2 linked regions of the Tamandua tetradactyla genome follow. The protein of the gene in region 1 interacts with the protein of each later gene in a pairwise test. Links are inferred from orthologs where the notes say so. Each region holds a gene or a part of one and is shown in the gene's direction. Other genes may lie near its edges.

Region 1 (7,471 bases):
GCCCCAGGCCCTGGGCCTCTGCACCTGCTGTGCCCCCCAGCTCCTGCCCATCTGCCTCTGTGGAAGCCCCCCTTGGTGCTGGTCCTCCAGGATTCGTCTTACCACTCCCTGTGTTTTCCCATCCCCTACCAGGGGGTTCCTAGGGACAGGCCCTGGGCCCCTGCGCCTGCTCCCCCCAGGGCCAGGCACCCTGTCCAGCACAGAGGGGAGGCAGCAAACAAATGCGCCAACTGCATGTGCTGTGGCCGCCGCCATCACCCTCACCTCATCACAGCCGGGCCCCAGGAGGGCCTCTCAGGTGCTGGGGTCTGCCCGGGCAGAGCAGAGCGCATTCAGGGCCGGCCAGCTGAGCTCCCCGGGGCAGGGTCCCCGCTCCCCCCCTCCCCCACCCAAGGCTCCAGCCCTGGCGCCCACTCACCTTCACTGAGGAAGGCGTCCCAGACACGCAGCACGGTGGGGAAGGGCAGGGAGCGGGCGAAGAGGCACAGGAACCACTCGGGCAGGTAGAGCAGGGGCCCGACGCCCACCTGCTGCAGGTGCCTATGCACGCGCGGAAGCAGCCGCCGCAGCAGCGCCGCAAACACCTCGGCATCCAGCCGCACGGCCTCCTGCGCCCACAGCCATCAGCCTCTCCCCACCCGGCGCCCCACCCGCTCCCCACCCCTCTCCCAAACCCCAGGCTTCAGCCCTCCTCAGGCGGCTCCCCCCGCCAGCGCCCACCCCATCCCCGCTCACAGGGGCCCCCATCCCAGCCTCTCACCATGTGGGGTCCATAGTAGCCAGGGAGGTAGACCTCACAGATCTGTACCAGGCACCAAAAGGCCTCCTGGGGGGTGGGGGGTGGGCAAGGCACAGGCCCGTGAGTGCCCCCCACAGAGGGGCAGGCAGGGCAGGACCCAGGAGCCTGGGAAGCAGCTGGGGTGACTCTGGGGTCCCTCTCAGAGCCTCTGCCCTGGGCCCAGTCGGGGGCCTGGTGGTGGGTTTACGGAGCCGAGAGTTATATGGCTCGGGATGGTGAATTGGGGAGGGGGGGGTCACAGGATTGAAGCTCACTGGTCAATGGTTGGGAGCATCCCAAAGTTCAAGGCCTGGGGTTCCTGGAGTCATTCGGGTCAGAGGTCATGGTGGCAGGGTTCAGAATCGGGAGTTGTGAGCTTAAGGGGATAAAGTCAAGGGCCCCCCACGTTTCTGGGATCAAGGTCATTGGGGTTGAATGCCACTGAAGGTGGCAATCATGAGACCCCGGGTCACTGAGACAGGGACTGGGGGTCAGAGTCCCTAGGGTTGGGGGCTATGGGTGCAGAGCTCAGAATCATGGTGGGGGACACCTGGGCCACTGGGGCTCCGGGGTCAGGGTCTCGGGTCCCTGGAACAAGGTCAAGGGTCACTCACCTCTGGGGGCAGGTGCATGAGTAGCACGGCGGCCACGGGTCCCTGGGCCTGGCAGTAGCCCTGTTCTGGCCGATACAGGGTGTAGGCCTTGAGAACCTGCTGGAGCCCCTGCTGCCTGTGCCAGAAGACCCCGTTAGGGGCCAGTCCCCCAGGGTGTCCCTTGCCCACCCTCTAGTGACCTCTGTGCTAGGCCTCAGCCTTCCTGGCTCCCCTGAGATAAAAGGATGTGAAGCTGGGCGAGGGGGAGGAGGGCTGGGCCAGAGGACCTGGGGCTGGGGGCCTGGGGGTCCCTGGCCATCACCAGCCTCGTACCCATGACCTTGAGGTGACACAAACATCTCGTGCAGAGGGAACTGGCGGTGCAGGTCCCTGCCAATGGTCTCCATCCACTGTGGGTCTCCGGGGGCCGAGGCCAGCTCCTGTCAGGGGGAGGCGGGGGTCACGGCTAGAAATGGCAAAGGGCTCTGGGAAGGGGAGGCAGGAACCCTGCCCACTCGCTCACCTGATAGGTACCGGGGCTGTTCTGTTTACACACGTGGGCCCCACACAGCAGGGGCCAGCAGCGCGCCCGCAGGGCTGAGGGGATACCTTTCCGGCACTGCATCTTTACCTGCAGGTGAGGCCGGGGCAACCTTAGCCAACCTCACCAGCCTTACCTGCTGCCCTTGGCCGGCCCCCAGCAGGCCGTGCCCCCAGGCAGGGAGCAAAAGCAGCATCTGCGGGGGCTGGAGGGATGGGTGGCCCTTGTCAGGGGCTGGCTCCAGGCCGAGGGGAATGGGCCACCCTCCCCCTCACCTTCTTGTACCGGCGAGACATGGTTTTCTCCCAGTGTGACGTCATCTCCACCCACTTCATCTCCCGCTGGCGGATAAGGTCTGCAGGGGCCTGACCTGGGCTGGGGACACATGCATAGGTAGCCAGGTGTCGGGCAGCTGTTTCCTAGGACCCACTCCTGCGAACCGCCCCCCATGCTCCCACCTGAGCCCAGCTCCTGCTCCTGCCGATGACCTGTAACCAAGAGCTGGCAATGTTGTCATGGGGATGGGAAAGGATGTGGCCTCTGATATGGGCGGAAGCAAGAGAGACTGAGGGGTGTGCATGGGGGGAGGGGTTGGCTGGCTATTCCCCCTCAACCACCCTGCCCAGGACAGGGACACAGATAACTCATAGGGAAAGCTGGCTGGTCCAGCATCCTGGACTGGCAGCCAGGGATTCAGAGTTTGACTCTGGTTCCGTCTCTGATCTGCTTGGACAAGTTCCTACCTGTCTCTGGCTCTGTTTTCCTGTCTGCACTTTTGGGGAGGGGCTAGGTGTTGTGGGTTCTATGGTTTGGATCTGGGATTCCTGGGCTAGAGACTAAAAAGGGAAGGCTGTTCAGCCGCAGGAGAGGGTGCAAACCCTTGGAGGTTTGGGAGTACAAGAGACATTTGGAACAAATCCCTCCTCCCCCAACACACACCCCCCCCCCAGCCTTTTCCACCTTAAAGTTTCACCTGAAGGAGAGAAGAGAGGTGATCTGGCTCAGTGTCTAGCTCAGTCCCTACTGCCACACCCTCCCAGACCTTTGAACACCTCACTTTGGAATCCAGACCCCATCCTCAGTCCCGGCTTCCCCACCCCACTCCATCCCACTTACCCAAGGTCCGCTGAGCTGCCCCCAATGAAGCCATAGCGGTCAGCCTGGCGATACGGGCCGGGTCCACTTAGCTCAGAGTCGGACCCCAAAGAGCTGGAGTCATCCTGCAGCTCGGAAGGCTGCACCAGGTCCTGCCCCAGGGCCTGGGCCATGGTGCCCCCGACTGTGATGCCACAGGTTCAGGCTGTAAGACATGGGGGAGAGCCAGTCTAAGGGGTGGCCGCTGGCCAGCCTGGGGCCTGGGCTCCCATCAGTTCCTAGCCCCAGAGCCAAAATGTGGGGTTGGAGCCGGCAGGTTTCAGAGCATCCCGCCAAGCCCCGGACATCCCCTCTTCTTTTGAGGGAGGGAAGGCCCTGACGTGGCAGAAAAGCCTGACCTCTGTATGGAGCCCCAGGCCCAGCCCCTCTCCCCGGCAGCCCGGGCTCCCCACCCGGCCATACCTGACCCTCCTCCTCTCACTTCCTCCTCAGCCACAGCTACAGCAAACCGGCTCCGGGCCCCTCCCAAGGTGTGGGGGGGAGGTGTCACCCCTTCCTCTCTGAGGCTCTTCCTGTCAGCCCCTGGGCCGGCCGTGGGCTCCTCCCTCCCTCCCCGTGGGCTGGGTGGGTTCCTGGGTGGGGTGTGATTGGCCAGGGTCTGCCAGAGGCAGAGGCCAGGCTGCCTCCACTTTTGAGGTTCCTGGTATGTAAGACACCCAAGTCAGGGCTCCAATAAGAATTCTGGTTTACTTAATGTTTGATATTCAGGGGGGAAGCCTTTTAACAGGCACACATACAGCATATTGTGCTTCTCACGTGGTAACTGTGGGACCCATAAAGATTTTTGCATGCACAGAGGCCGGGAGGACCTGACTATGGCTTGGAGTTCAGGAACAGGTGTCCTTGGACCCCACAAAGACTCAGAAGGATGAGGGCCTCCGCGAACGTGAGTCCCCCGTGTTGGGCCAGCCCCTTGCTAACTCTGAGCCTCAGTTTCCTTTTCCGGAAACTTTGAGGATTTAACCCGCAGTGTTTTAGGAGGCGGTCTGGGCTGGGGTTCCTCGCGGTTATTCACGCGCTCATACCACCCTCCGCCTAGAGCAGGGTTGATGAAGGCTGACGAGTCTCTGCAAGAGAAAAACAACTTCCACAGCGTTTCCGGTCCCTTAACCTCGGAGCGCGTCTGGGCGACTCTTTGTGGGCGGGGCCTGGCCCCGCCCACACGAACCCCGCCCCGAGCACCTCAGCAAGATCCCGCCCTAGTCGCGCCAAGCCCCGCCTCGCCCCCAGAGGCCCCGCCCCCGGGCTACCGCGGCCTGTGCGCCTCCTGCCCAGCAGAGGCGCTAGAGCGTGGGGTCGGGGCACAGGGCGGAGGCGGGCCTGGGGGGCGGGCCCGGGCGACGGGGGGCGGGGGCGGGGGCGGGTCCGGGCGGGCGGAAGGAGAGCCAGGCCGGAAGGAGGCGGCGGGAGGGCGGGAGGCAGCTGCGGGCTCGGAGCTGTAGGGCCGGAGCGGCGGCGCCGCCATGTCCGACAGCGAGAAGCTCAACTTGGACTCTATCATCGGGCGCCTGCTGGAAGGTTGGCTGAGGCCGGGGAGGGCCGCGCCCGCCGCGCCCTGGCCCGCTGCCCAGCCCGGAAGTGGCGCGCGGGCGGGCCTGCCCCTCCCGGGGCCAGTGGAGACTGGGCGGGGACGGGCCGCGAGGTCCAGCCGCCTCCCCCACCCCTGTCGCGGGCTCCCTGAGGGGTCTGGGGTCCGATCGGGCACGCGAAGCAGCCCTCTCTCCCGGGAGCGCACACGGTGGCCTGGGGCTCCTAGAGTGAGGGAGAGCCCTGAGAATCCCAGCCCGGGAAAGGGGTTCTGCGATATTAGGTTTTGAGTGGGGGGACCCCAGCGCACCCTTTTCTCGAGGGCCTTGTTTTGGGGGGCATGAGACAGGTCCTGGTCGAGGAGGGGTGTCGGGAGAGACCCAGACGAATACAGAGGTTCCCCTGGGGCGGTCGCCTGTATATCGCCACCCTCTGGCTCCCCAGGACCTCAGAGGCCGGGGTCCTGACGCCCCATTCCGCATTCCCAGTGCAAGGCTCGCGGCCTGGAAAGAATGTGCAGCTGACAGAGAATGAGATCCGTGGTCTGTGCCTCAAATCCCGGGAGATTTTCCTGAGCCAGCCCATTCTTCTGGAGTTAGAGGCACCCCTCAAGATCTGCGGTGAGTTCCCTGCCCCAGCCCCCTTGGGCTTCCTGAAAATGGCATTACCCACCCCACACCCCTCCACCACCCCCACTCCAAGTTCATGGATTCCTCCTCCCTTGAGGAAGCCAGTCCAGGCACTGCACCTGGTGCTGACCGGATTCCCTGGGTCCCAGGTGACATCCATGGTCAGTACTACGACCTTCTGCGGCTGTTTGAGTACGGCGGCTTCCCACCGGAGAGCAACTACCTCTTCCTGGGGGACTACGTGGACCGGGGCAAGCAGTCATTGGAGACTATCTGCCTGCTGCTGGCCTATAAGATCAAGTACCCTGAGAACTTCTTCCTGCTTCGTGGGAACCACGAGTGTGCCAGCATCAACCGCATCTACGGCTTCTACGATGAGTGTGAGTGGTCCCGGGGTGTGGTGGCTGCTCGACTCCTGAAGGGCTCATCCCTGTTCTGTGGGACCCTCCTGTTGGCCTGGCATTAGCCATATCAGTGTCTGGCAGGTACCTGCTAGACTGAGCTTGCAGGGCCGGGTTCAGTTCATTTCTGGCTGCCCCGCCCTCCTGGCATGGGGCCTGGCACTTGGAAGGGTTTGGTGAATGGATGCTGACTGGAGGGCTGCCCATATTCTTAATGCTTTTCCTCAAGGCCCTGCCTGGTGACTCCCCCACCCCCAGGACATCCGCTGCTTAAGCACTTAGGGTGTCGAGCTGGGCTGGGATCTGCTGGCCAGAAGAGAAATGGAGATAGGCCAGACCCCACCTTGGCCTGCTCATGGGTTGGGGCAGGTGTGTGTGTGGGGGGGTGCGTGTGTGTGCCAACTCTACGGATCCTGTTGGGTTCCTGTGGACTGAGATGCTTTGAATTCCATCTTGGAAGGTGGTCCACAGTGCGGGTGGGGTGGGAGGGCGAGCCCTCCCCGCCTTCCACTCTCTTCCCTCAGCTGTGTCTGACCAGCCTGCAAAGCGCCTCAGAGAACCAGGCTGCGGGTGGGGCGGGCAGCCTCCTCACAGGCCGGCATCTCCCTCCTCTGGGCAGGCAAGAGACGCTACAACATTAAACTATGGAAAACCTTCACCGACTGCTTCAACTGCCTGCCTATCGCGGCCATAGTGGACGAGAAGATCTTCTGCTGCCATGGAGGTGAGAGGGCCTCCTTGGAAGCTAAAAGCCCCAGCCACATCCCCGGGGCCCTGGAATAAAGTTCCGTTAGCTGTCTTGGGGGTTAGATGCCTTCTCTTGAGGAAGCTGTACTGCCACACCCCCGCCATTAGGCAGTTTCTTGTGGTGCTCAGCATTCTGCTCTCAAGGAGTTCATCTTTCTTCCAAGCGCTGTGTTCCTTGAGGGCAGGGGCTTCTCTGGCTGGTTTGCCTCTGTGCTCAGGGCCTCAGACATGCAGAGGGAAGGAGGGCCAGCTCTGGCTGCCTGAGCCCCCACGGGTCCAGGAGAGGGGCCAGATGGTGGTGGTAGGAAGAGTGAGGCTGGTTGGCAAAGGCTCCCTCGGAGAGGGGGTCTGGTTTTGAGGCTTGTTTGAGGAGTTGACTGTCCTCCCTGTACCCCGCAGGCCTGTCCCCGGACCTGCAGTCCATGGAACAGATTCGGCGGATCATGCGGCCCACAGATGTGCCTGACCAGGGTCTGCTGTGCGATCTGCTGTGGTCGGACCCTGACAAGGATGTGCAGGGCTGGGGCGAGAACGACCGTGGGGTCTCCTTTACTTTTGGGGCTGAGGTGGTGGCTAAGTTCCTGCATAAGCATGACTTGGACCTCATCTGCCGGGCGCACCAGGTGGGCTGGCCTCTCTGGGTGGGGCAGGGAGTGGGGGCTGGGTAGGGCCGCACAGGCTGGGCTGACCACGCCCATCCTTGCCAGGTGGTAGAAGATGGCTACGAGTTCTTTGCCAAGCGGCAGCTGGTGACACTTTTCTCAGCTCCCAACTACTGTGGCGAGTTTGACAACGCAGGTGCCATGATGAGCGTGGATGAGACCCTCATGTGCTCCTTCCAGGTGGGTGCAGGGGAAGAAGGGACCAAGGGTCCTGGGCCTCAGCCCAGTGAGCCTTACCAGCTATGTCTGTTTTCTAGATCCTCAAGCCCGCTGACAAGAACAAGGGGAAATACGGGCAGTTCAGTGGCCTGAACCCAGGGGGCCGGCCCATCACTCCACCACGTAATTCCGCCAAAGCCAAGAAGTAGCCGCCCCGGGCCTGCCCCTCTGCCCCAGATGATGGATTGATTGTATAGAAATCACGCTGCCATGGAGGGG
Region 2 (7,327 bases), on another chromosome or scaffold:
GTTCTTTTTACAGGTTCCTCTTTGTTAGTCGAATTTGGAGGAGGGTGTGTGTGGGAACTTTTTGTTTAACTTCAGGTATACAGACCCTCACACCTTTTCTGCAAGTTACACCTTCAGATAATGGTATATGATAGCTGCTAGAAATATTTTCCACTTTTTCAGAGGAAGAAAGACTCCTCTCACCTAAATATCTAAATAGTGATATAGTTGGTGATCTTCTAAATCCGAAGTCAAAAACTAGAGTTTCTGTTACATGAAACAATCTGAAAACAAGGAGCCAGAAAAAGACAAATTTAAAGGAAAATTCTGGAAGAAAATAATGAAAGTGCAAATTTGCGGTTCTCTAAAGTTTGCCACACATTGAGTTTATTGAGTTATTCTTGAGAATATTTAATGAGACGCTCAACAAAGTAATTTCTGTAAGTGGGAGTAGAAAATACTAGTTATTTTTTAAAACTGTATTGTGGAAAGTTCTGTTATATGCATGCATATGTATATGTGTATGTAAGGTATGTGTGTGTGTGAGTGAATAAAAATAAATTTCTGACCATGGTCATCTTTATTCTTCCTTCATTTTTCTAAATCTAACTCATAAGGTTATTTTTCTGATCCATTTTGGAAAAAAATTCCCCTTTACATTTTCAAATTTTATCTTTGACTTAGAAGACAGGTTATTTTCATTTTTACTTTCCTCCATCTCATGCTTCTGAGGTCCCTCATATCTGGGCTAAGAACCATTGTCCTAGAAAAGGTAGGGCTCAAATTACTCAGGATGCTGCCTGCTTAAATATGCTAGATCCCACACAGATAAAGTTATGGGATTCCATATTCTCTTTCTTTTCTCCCAACAGTTGAAATGAAAAAAAAAAAAAAGTTCAAAACACATAGTAAGCCTACTAACATGTGTCTGTTAATAGTGTGTTCTTACTGGGCTCAGTCAAACTACAGATTTTTCACCCAAATAAATTCAGAACATGCATGTTCCCTTTTCCTCTAGATGGTAATGCAAACCAGAAGTACAAGCACAAGAAGGTTATCTTATCACATTATAAATCAGATTCATTAAATTCATTGTATGGTGCCATCTTCCTACATATCCTTTAGTACTTTTGTGAAATGGCACTGTCTCCTGTCTCTCTGAGGCTACGCTAGCTTATCTTATTAATGGCTAAGTGCAATATAAACCATTCTAAATAAGTAATGTCTGCACGTGGAGAATCATAGTTAGTCATAACTGCACTATACCCTATATCATACTCACCTTCTCTTCAAGAAAAATTTCAATCCAAAGAGTCTTGAATATATACTTTTATTGAGAGGATATACCTGTTTTTCCAAAGATTTTAACACATGGGTGTTGTCTTCAGATATCTCTTAGGTTTGTAAAACAATTTGCCTGTAAGAGATACGACAGATTTTGTAAATTAAGATAGCCAAGTATATAAACACGAAATTTGGTATTAATAGCCCTGAAAGAGATCTTAAAGCCTTCTGGCCCTGACACTAATTTACTCCAAATAGTAGAGCAATCTATCTGATGTGGTGACTGGTAGAAGGGGGTGGGTGAGATGGTGTCAAGGAGACTGGTAATTAAAAGCTATTACCAAATTGAAGTTTGTTTTAATTTTAGGCTATTAAATATTACCTGGAAAACAGATTTATTAATAACCATTTCTTATCTAGGAGTTCTTTCCACCACAAAATGTAAAGCCTTAACTTATTCATCAGTGGGTTATATTCTGAGACACAGGTTATCTATCATACAATGACTGCAAGTTTTATAAAAGTAATTGTTTTAAGAACAATGGAGTAAAAGATTTCCTGGTCCAATCTATGCAGACAGCAGATATTTATCTAAGTTCTTAGTGAGGATTTACTTTTTTATTTTTCAGAAATCTTATTTGAAATATGGCTCAGAGTGATTTTCTCTATCCAGAGAACCCAAGGAGGCGGCAGGAAGTAAATCGTCTTCACCAGCAGCTTCTTGACTGCTTATCTGACAGCTTCCATGCAACCAATAAACTTATTGGGGTTCTAAATAAGCACTTGGGATGCAAGTTGGCCTCCATTGAGATGAAAAGAGATGGAACCATCAAAGAAAACTGTGATATCATCATACAAGCCATGACAAAAATTCAAAAGGAATTGCAAAAGGTTGACGAAGCACTAAAAGATAAATTAGAGCCAAACCTTTACAGAAAACTTCAAGACATTAAGGAAAGGGAGACAGAGAAAATTGCCATAGTGCAAAAGGTTATTTCAGTCATCCTGGGAGAAGCCACTTCTGCAGCCAGTGCACTGGCTGTTAAACTCGTGGGCTCCAGTGTCACAACGGGCATAATTAACAAGCTGGTCACTGTGCTAGCTCAAATTGGTGCCTCTCTCCTTGGCAGTATTGGAGTTACTGTTCTTGGCCTTGGCATAGACATGATCTTCCGTGCCATCCTGGGGGCAGTGGAGAAAACACAGCTTCAAACAGCCATCAGAAGTTATGAGAAGCATTTGGTGGAGTTCAAGTCAGCCTCCGAAAAATATCATCATATTATTACTGAGGTCACCAACACAGTGGAACACCAAATAAAATAAACAGGCATTTGATTTCTCACTGGAATATTTTTCTGCTTCCTTCTCATTAATAGTGTTTTGCTTCCTTGATTAGGTTCATTTTCCATACACTTCCAAAAAGGGTACAAACTGAGTAAATAGTTTGGAAAGTGGGGATCAGAAATGCGAAAACTAAGGCACTGGAGTTTCTTTTTGTTTTTATCAATGAATGCCTGGGTCAGTCGGTCCTAGAGCCTTCAAAATAAAAGATTATGTAAATTCTTGCTCTACCTGACCAACATTGGGGCAAACGCTATTGTAGAGCAGCAGGGGTAGTTACCCTTTCTTTTTCTAATCCCTAGTCAAAATTCTTAAATTTACATTGAATATAGAAATTCTCATTTCCATCATTAGTTTCAGCCATCAACTAGTTCTAAGGGGACATACTTAGCAACTGCTGCCTAAACACAAGCTGTAGGCCTTCAACTGGAATTAAAGTATTACCATATTTTCAATCATAAGATCAAATCCAATTTTCTATAAACTGGAAGAGACTAAAAAATGGTTTGTACCAATCTGTTTTAATGAATAGTAGCAACGGTTCCATGATCATCTGCTAATTACACACTGTAATCTAGATGGATTAAAAATATGAAGTTGAAAGTTAAAGTTAAAAAGATAGGGGTGCACGGGTAGAGTGCTCACCTTTCATGTGGGAGACCCAGGTTCAATTCCCAGACCATACACCACCCCCCCCCCCCCCAAAAAAAGATAAAGGTCCGTTTCTGCCGTTGCAGTCAACTTGCGATATTCTGATCGAGTATCCCGCAAGTCAATATTTGAACCCTCTGGAACATAAAAATAAAAACTCCAGCCATACACCAATAAAATGCATTTGGGATACAGGAGAGGCAGCCCCTACTCTTTTAAGAAATTGTCATTTATGGGAATGTTATCCTTTATTACCTATGAGTTTTCAGAGAAAAAGAAATTAATTTCATTTTCAATAATAACAAAGTAGGCAGCTGTCTCTGCTATACAGAGCTTTTGCTGGCTAATTCCACTAATTACCTAATTTCAGGAAAATTCAGAGGCTACATAGGCCTAATGGTACAGTTGAACTGTTCAACAGATACAAGTGCTTTCTGAACCCATCACCAATTAGTGACATTCCATTAAGACTCTTTTAGCCTCTACTTAAGAAAATTAATATACTGCTGTGAGAATGTTGTATTTGATTCTTGTCCCAAAGTACAAGAAATATCTTGAAATTTAAAACACTCAGCATATCTCAAGTCACAACGTTAGACATAAGACCTTAATTTTTCAAATGTACTTTGTGCTTTCTTTCCATCAATGCTTTTTTAGTTCATTGCAAACAATGTGGCTCACCCTCAAAAGTGAATCTACTAAGACGAAGGTTAGTTTAAGTAAGGGGCCTACCTTATATTCTTTAAGTCCATTTTGACTAATCTACTAAAAATTAACAGCAACATAAATATTCTGAAATATTTATAATTGATAGAATTGGCCTAAATCTAACTTGTTTTCTTACAGGGGAAACTTAATTTAGGATCAGAAGTAACCAAGCAAAATTTTTTTCAATATTTTAGCTTACCTTTAAGGGGGAAAGAGAAATGAGGAGTTTTAGGGAAAGAGGGAATAGAAAAGAAATGACTACGTCTAGAGATGGTAAATATTTCCAAACGTGTAAGTGACGTCATAAAGGACAGTCAGGCAAGGAGCCAACAAAATTAAACTCGCCAATAGTAAATGTACAACTGAATGCACATATATCCTTCAGTTCCTCTTCAAAAAACAAATCCTGTCGATTAGCATTCTGGATCCCTAATGCAGGCACTGATGTGCTCAGGGGTCTGTGTGTTCACAAACCATTACTGAACTCCGGGATGTACCAGACGCCCACGTGGGCCCACCTGACCCTAGCAAAGCGCCTCAAACACAGCGCCAAGCGTTATTCGGCAACTCGCTTTCAAATGGAGTTGCGCCCAAAGGACCGCATCCGCTTAAGTCACCAGAAAAGGAAAAATCCAAAAAGGAGCACAATTCCCAGGAGATACAATCAACGTAAGACATCGTCCCTACGTTCAAAATACGGGTCTCGGTCCACACAATAATTGATGCCCCCGGATATTAAGTCAGAACGGCCGGCGTTGGGGGGGCGGGAAGGGAAACAGGAGTGCCTTGCCATCAACCAATTAGATATCTGCCCCAGCTTCTCTTTTATTATTCCTATAGGACTAGGAGTCTTCGTACTGCGTAAAAAGGCGGGCTGTTAGCAGACAGCCAACCAATTTAGTATTTTAACCAAGCGGAAGAGAGCTTGATCCTAGTGTTCTTGGGTATTCTGGATGGTCCCCAAGACTGAAAAACGGTAAGAGACCGTCCACCCGAAGACACAGGAAGTGACGTACCGATGGCGGAGGGGCGCGAGCTTTCAAGATGGCGGTGGCTGGCTACCTGAACGAGGGGCTGAGGTGAAGACCCCTACGAAGTAAAAGAGGCCAGAAATCGCCCACACCCCAATTCTAGCAGTCCCGGGAATTCAGCAGAAGTGTGAGTGTGCGGGTGGTTCCACTCCGCTTTTTCACCTTTCCCGTCCCTTCTAGGGCCCGCGCGGGTGTCTTGGAACTCCAGGCCCCGTTTCTGCGTTCTTCCTCGCCCTGGTTGGTGTCTCTCGAGTCTCAATTTGGGGGATCCCCGGGCCGGAGACGTCGCGGTTTCCAGCGCTTAAGAGATAGTTTTATCTAGGTTGGTTGGCGCGGCTTCCTCTGCACGTTGACCGGCTGCTCTACGTTTCACGTCGTCTTGAGCCTCGAGTCAGGGTCAACCGTCGTTATAGTTTCGGCAGTTGCTGCTAGTATTGCCTCCTTTGGCGGACCTGGACCCCGTCCCCTGGGAACCTTTTTGGCTATTTTCAAGTTACCCAACGTTTTGTGGCCTGATTACCAGGTGGCCTCTGTTTTAGACCAAAAAAAAAAAACAGTAGTTTGTGCGGACTAACCCACCAGTGTATTTGTAAAGATTGACTATAATCTGTGGGAGAGGGTCAAAACATCAGTCTGATAATTGAGAGAAGAAAGCAAAAGAAATACAGGCAGATCTGAGAGCTTATATATGCACTTACTTTGCTTGTTCCCTCACTCGTGGGTTTTGTTTTTTTCGTGAGAAAGTAACAGTGACAGGCTAAATTCATTACCGCTAGAACAGCTCGGAAGCATCTAGCAGAAATCAGGTTAATTGAACATTTATTTTAAGAAGTAATACCGTAATCAACTGATCTGACAATGCCTGTGTAAAGGGAGAGAGAATATAATTGTATAATCTACCAAATAATCTACTTCATGATCTTCCCTTTGGCTCTCTTTTAAAAGTGCCTGCTTTCTAAAGAGAGGAAATTTGTTAACCCTTATCATTGTAAAGAGAGTTTTAAAAAGTTACATCTCATTCATTTGGAATAGGGGAAGAAATGATATAATATGGTCTTAGCCTAACAAAAATTTTGCGTAGAAAATATTTTCCCTCAACCACAATTATCACATTTAGGTATTTTTAAAAATACAAATCAGGAATCAAGTAGGTACTAGTTAGGAAAATGTATGTCGATAAAAATGGAAGTTTATGAAAGCTTCCTTATATAATGCTTATTTTGAGTATTTTCATTTTTAGTTTTAAATTTTTGGAAAGCAAGAGCTATATCTGAATTAGAAGTATATTTCAGTTAATGATTTTTTATGGTCTCAGAAGTGTTGGGAGAATGCATGCTAAGAAAAACTATGAATAGGCATGGGTGAACTATTTGTCTTTGGGCCCAAATTCCATACCCCTATTCTTTTTTTCATCCTACAGATAAATAAAGGGAAGCTGTAGGGAAAGGGCTAATGAATGGCTTCCGGTGTTCATGGTTTGTGCCATATTGCTGAAAGTGGTTGATTTTTTCAGTCAACAGTCAGAGTTATGATTGATTTTTTTTTAAGGCTACATTGATGATTTAATCATATGCACAGTGCTTTTCAGACCCTTTGTCTTACTAATGAACGTTAAAGATCTAATTTTTCCTTGTCAAGAAAGTTGAGGCCATCTTTCTTGGATACTAAATTTGAGAATAAGAACAAGTTCTCAAAAAATTAATCAAGACTATTTCTTGTCAGATATTAAGGTACTCTAAAAAGGGGAAAAAATTATGAATACAGAAAAATGTAAGTTACTTATTTGTATTTTCAGGTTGCCTTTTTTTTTTTTTGATGAAGAAGTAAACAATACAGATTTTAAACATGGGACGGAGATCTACGTCATCCACCAAGAGTGGAAAATTTATGAACCCCACAGACCAGGCCCGTAAGTGTCCATTAATGTGCAATGATAAGCAAATGTTAAGGAATGGTAAAAAGTGTAAGCATTGGGGAATCTGTTTATATCATTATGGCATAATTACAAGATCAGTAGTGATATACATCAGTTGTAGAAAGTTAACCATTGTTCTTGTGAGTGGTAAAAAGTATAAGCACTGGGGAATCTGTTTATTTCATTGTGGCATAATTACAAGATCAGCAGTGATACACATCGGTTGTATAAAGTTAACCATTGTTCTTGTGAGCACATGAGTTAAACTTCTAAGATGTAAAAAAATTAGTATTTATATTACCAGTTTCAAATTTGATTGGTTTGCAGTACAGTAGAATTGGCTTAAAGCTTTCTTTTTATACTTAGAATTTGAACAGATGAGGTTTATAAGCACTCATTTAGTAGGTTATGGTATTTT

What was found. The genes of interacting proteins can lie anywhere in the genome.
Region 2: the proteins of PPP1CA (region 1) and WBP11 interact in binary tests that used the Homo sapiens proteins (3 or more experiments, as listed by UniProt). The link is inferred for Tamandua tetradactyla from reciprocal best matches to the Homo sapiens genes PPP1CA and WBP11.

What each region holds. Positions count from the first base shown.
Region 1 is NC_135335.1:6,994,597-7,002,067, forward strand, and holds the start of PPP1CA (serine/threonine-protein phosphatase PP1-alpha catalytic subunit), read left to right. Parts: upstream 1-4,452; 5' UTR 4,453-4,530; coding exon 4,531-4,585; intron 4,586-5,082; coding exon 5,083-5,214; intron 5,215-5,372; coding exon 5,373-5,603; intron 5,604-6,144; exon of another isoform or gene 6,145-6,243; coding exon 6,244-6,348; exon of another isoform or gene 6,349-6,770; coding exon 6,771-6,994; exon of another isoform or gene 6,995-7,078; coding exon 7,079-7,213; exon of another isoform or gene 7,214-7,290; coding exon 7,291-7,401; 3' UTR 7,402-7,471. Other genes in the region: TBC1D10C (carabin), read right to left, coding at 419-608, 761-826, 1,393-1,507, 1,705-1,811, 1,895-2,002, 2,188-2,287, 3,029-3,180. UniProt on the Homo sapiens protein: Protein phosphatase that associates with over 200 regulatory proteins to form highly specific holoenzymes which dephosphorylate hundreds of biological targets.
Region 2 is NC_135333.1:77,380,070-77,387,396, reverse strand, and holds the start of WBP11 (WW domain-binding protein 11), read left to right. Parts: upstream 1-4,313; 5' UTR 4,314-4,632; exon of another isoform or gene 4,633-4,803; 5' UTR 4,804-5,517; exon of another isoform or gene 5,518-5,800; intron 5,801-6,789; 5' UTR 6,790-6,839; coding exon 6,840-6,903; intron 6,904-7,327. Other genes in the region: SMCO3 (single-pass membrane and coiled-coil domain-containing protein 3), read left to right, coding at 1,909-2,586. UniProt on the Homo sapiens protein: Activates pre-mRNA splicing. May inhibit PP1 phosphatase activity.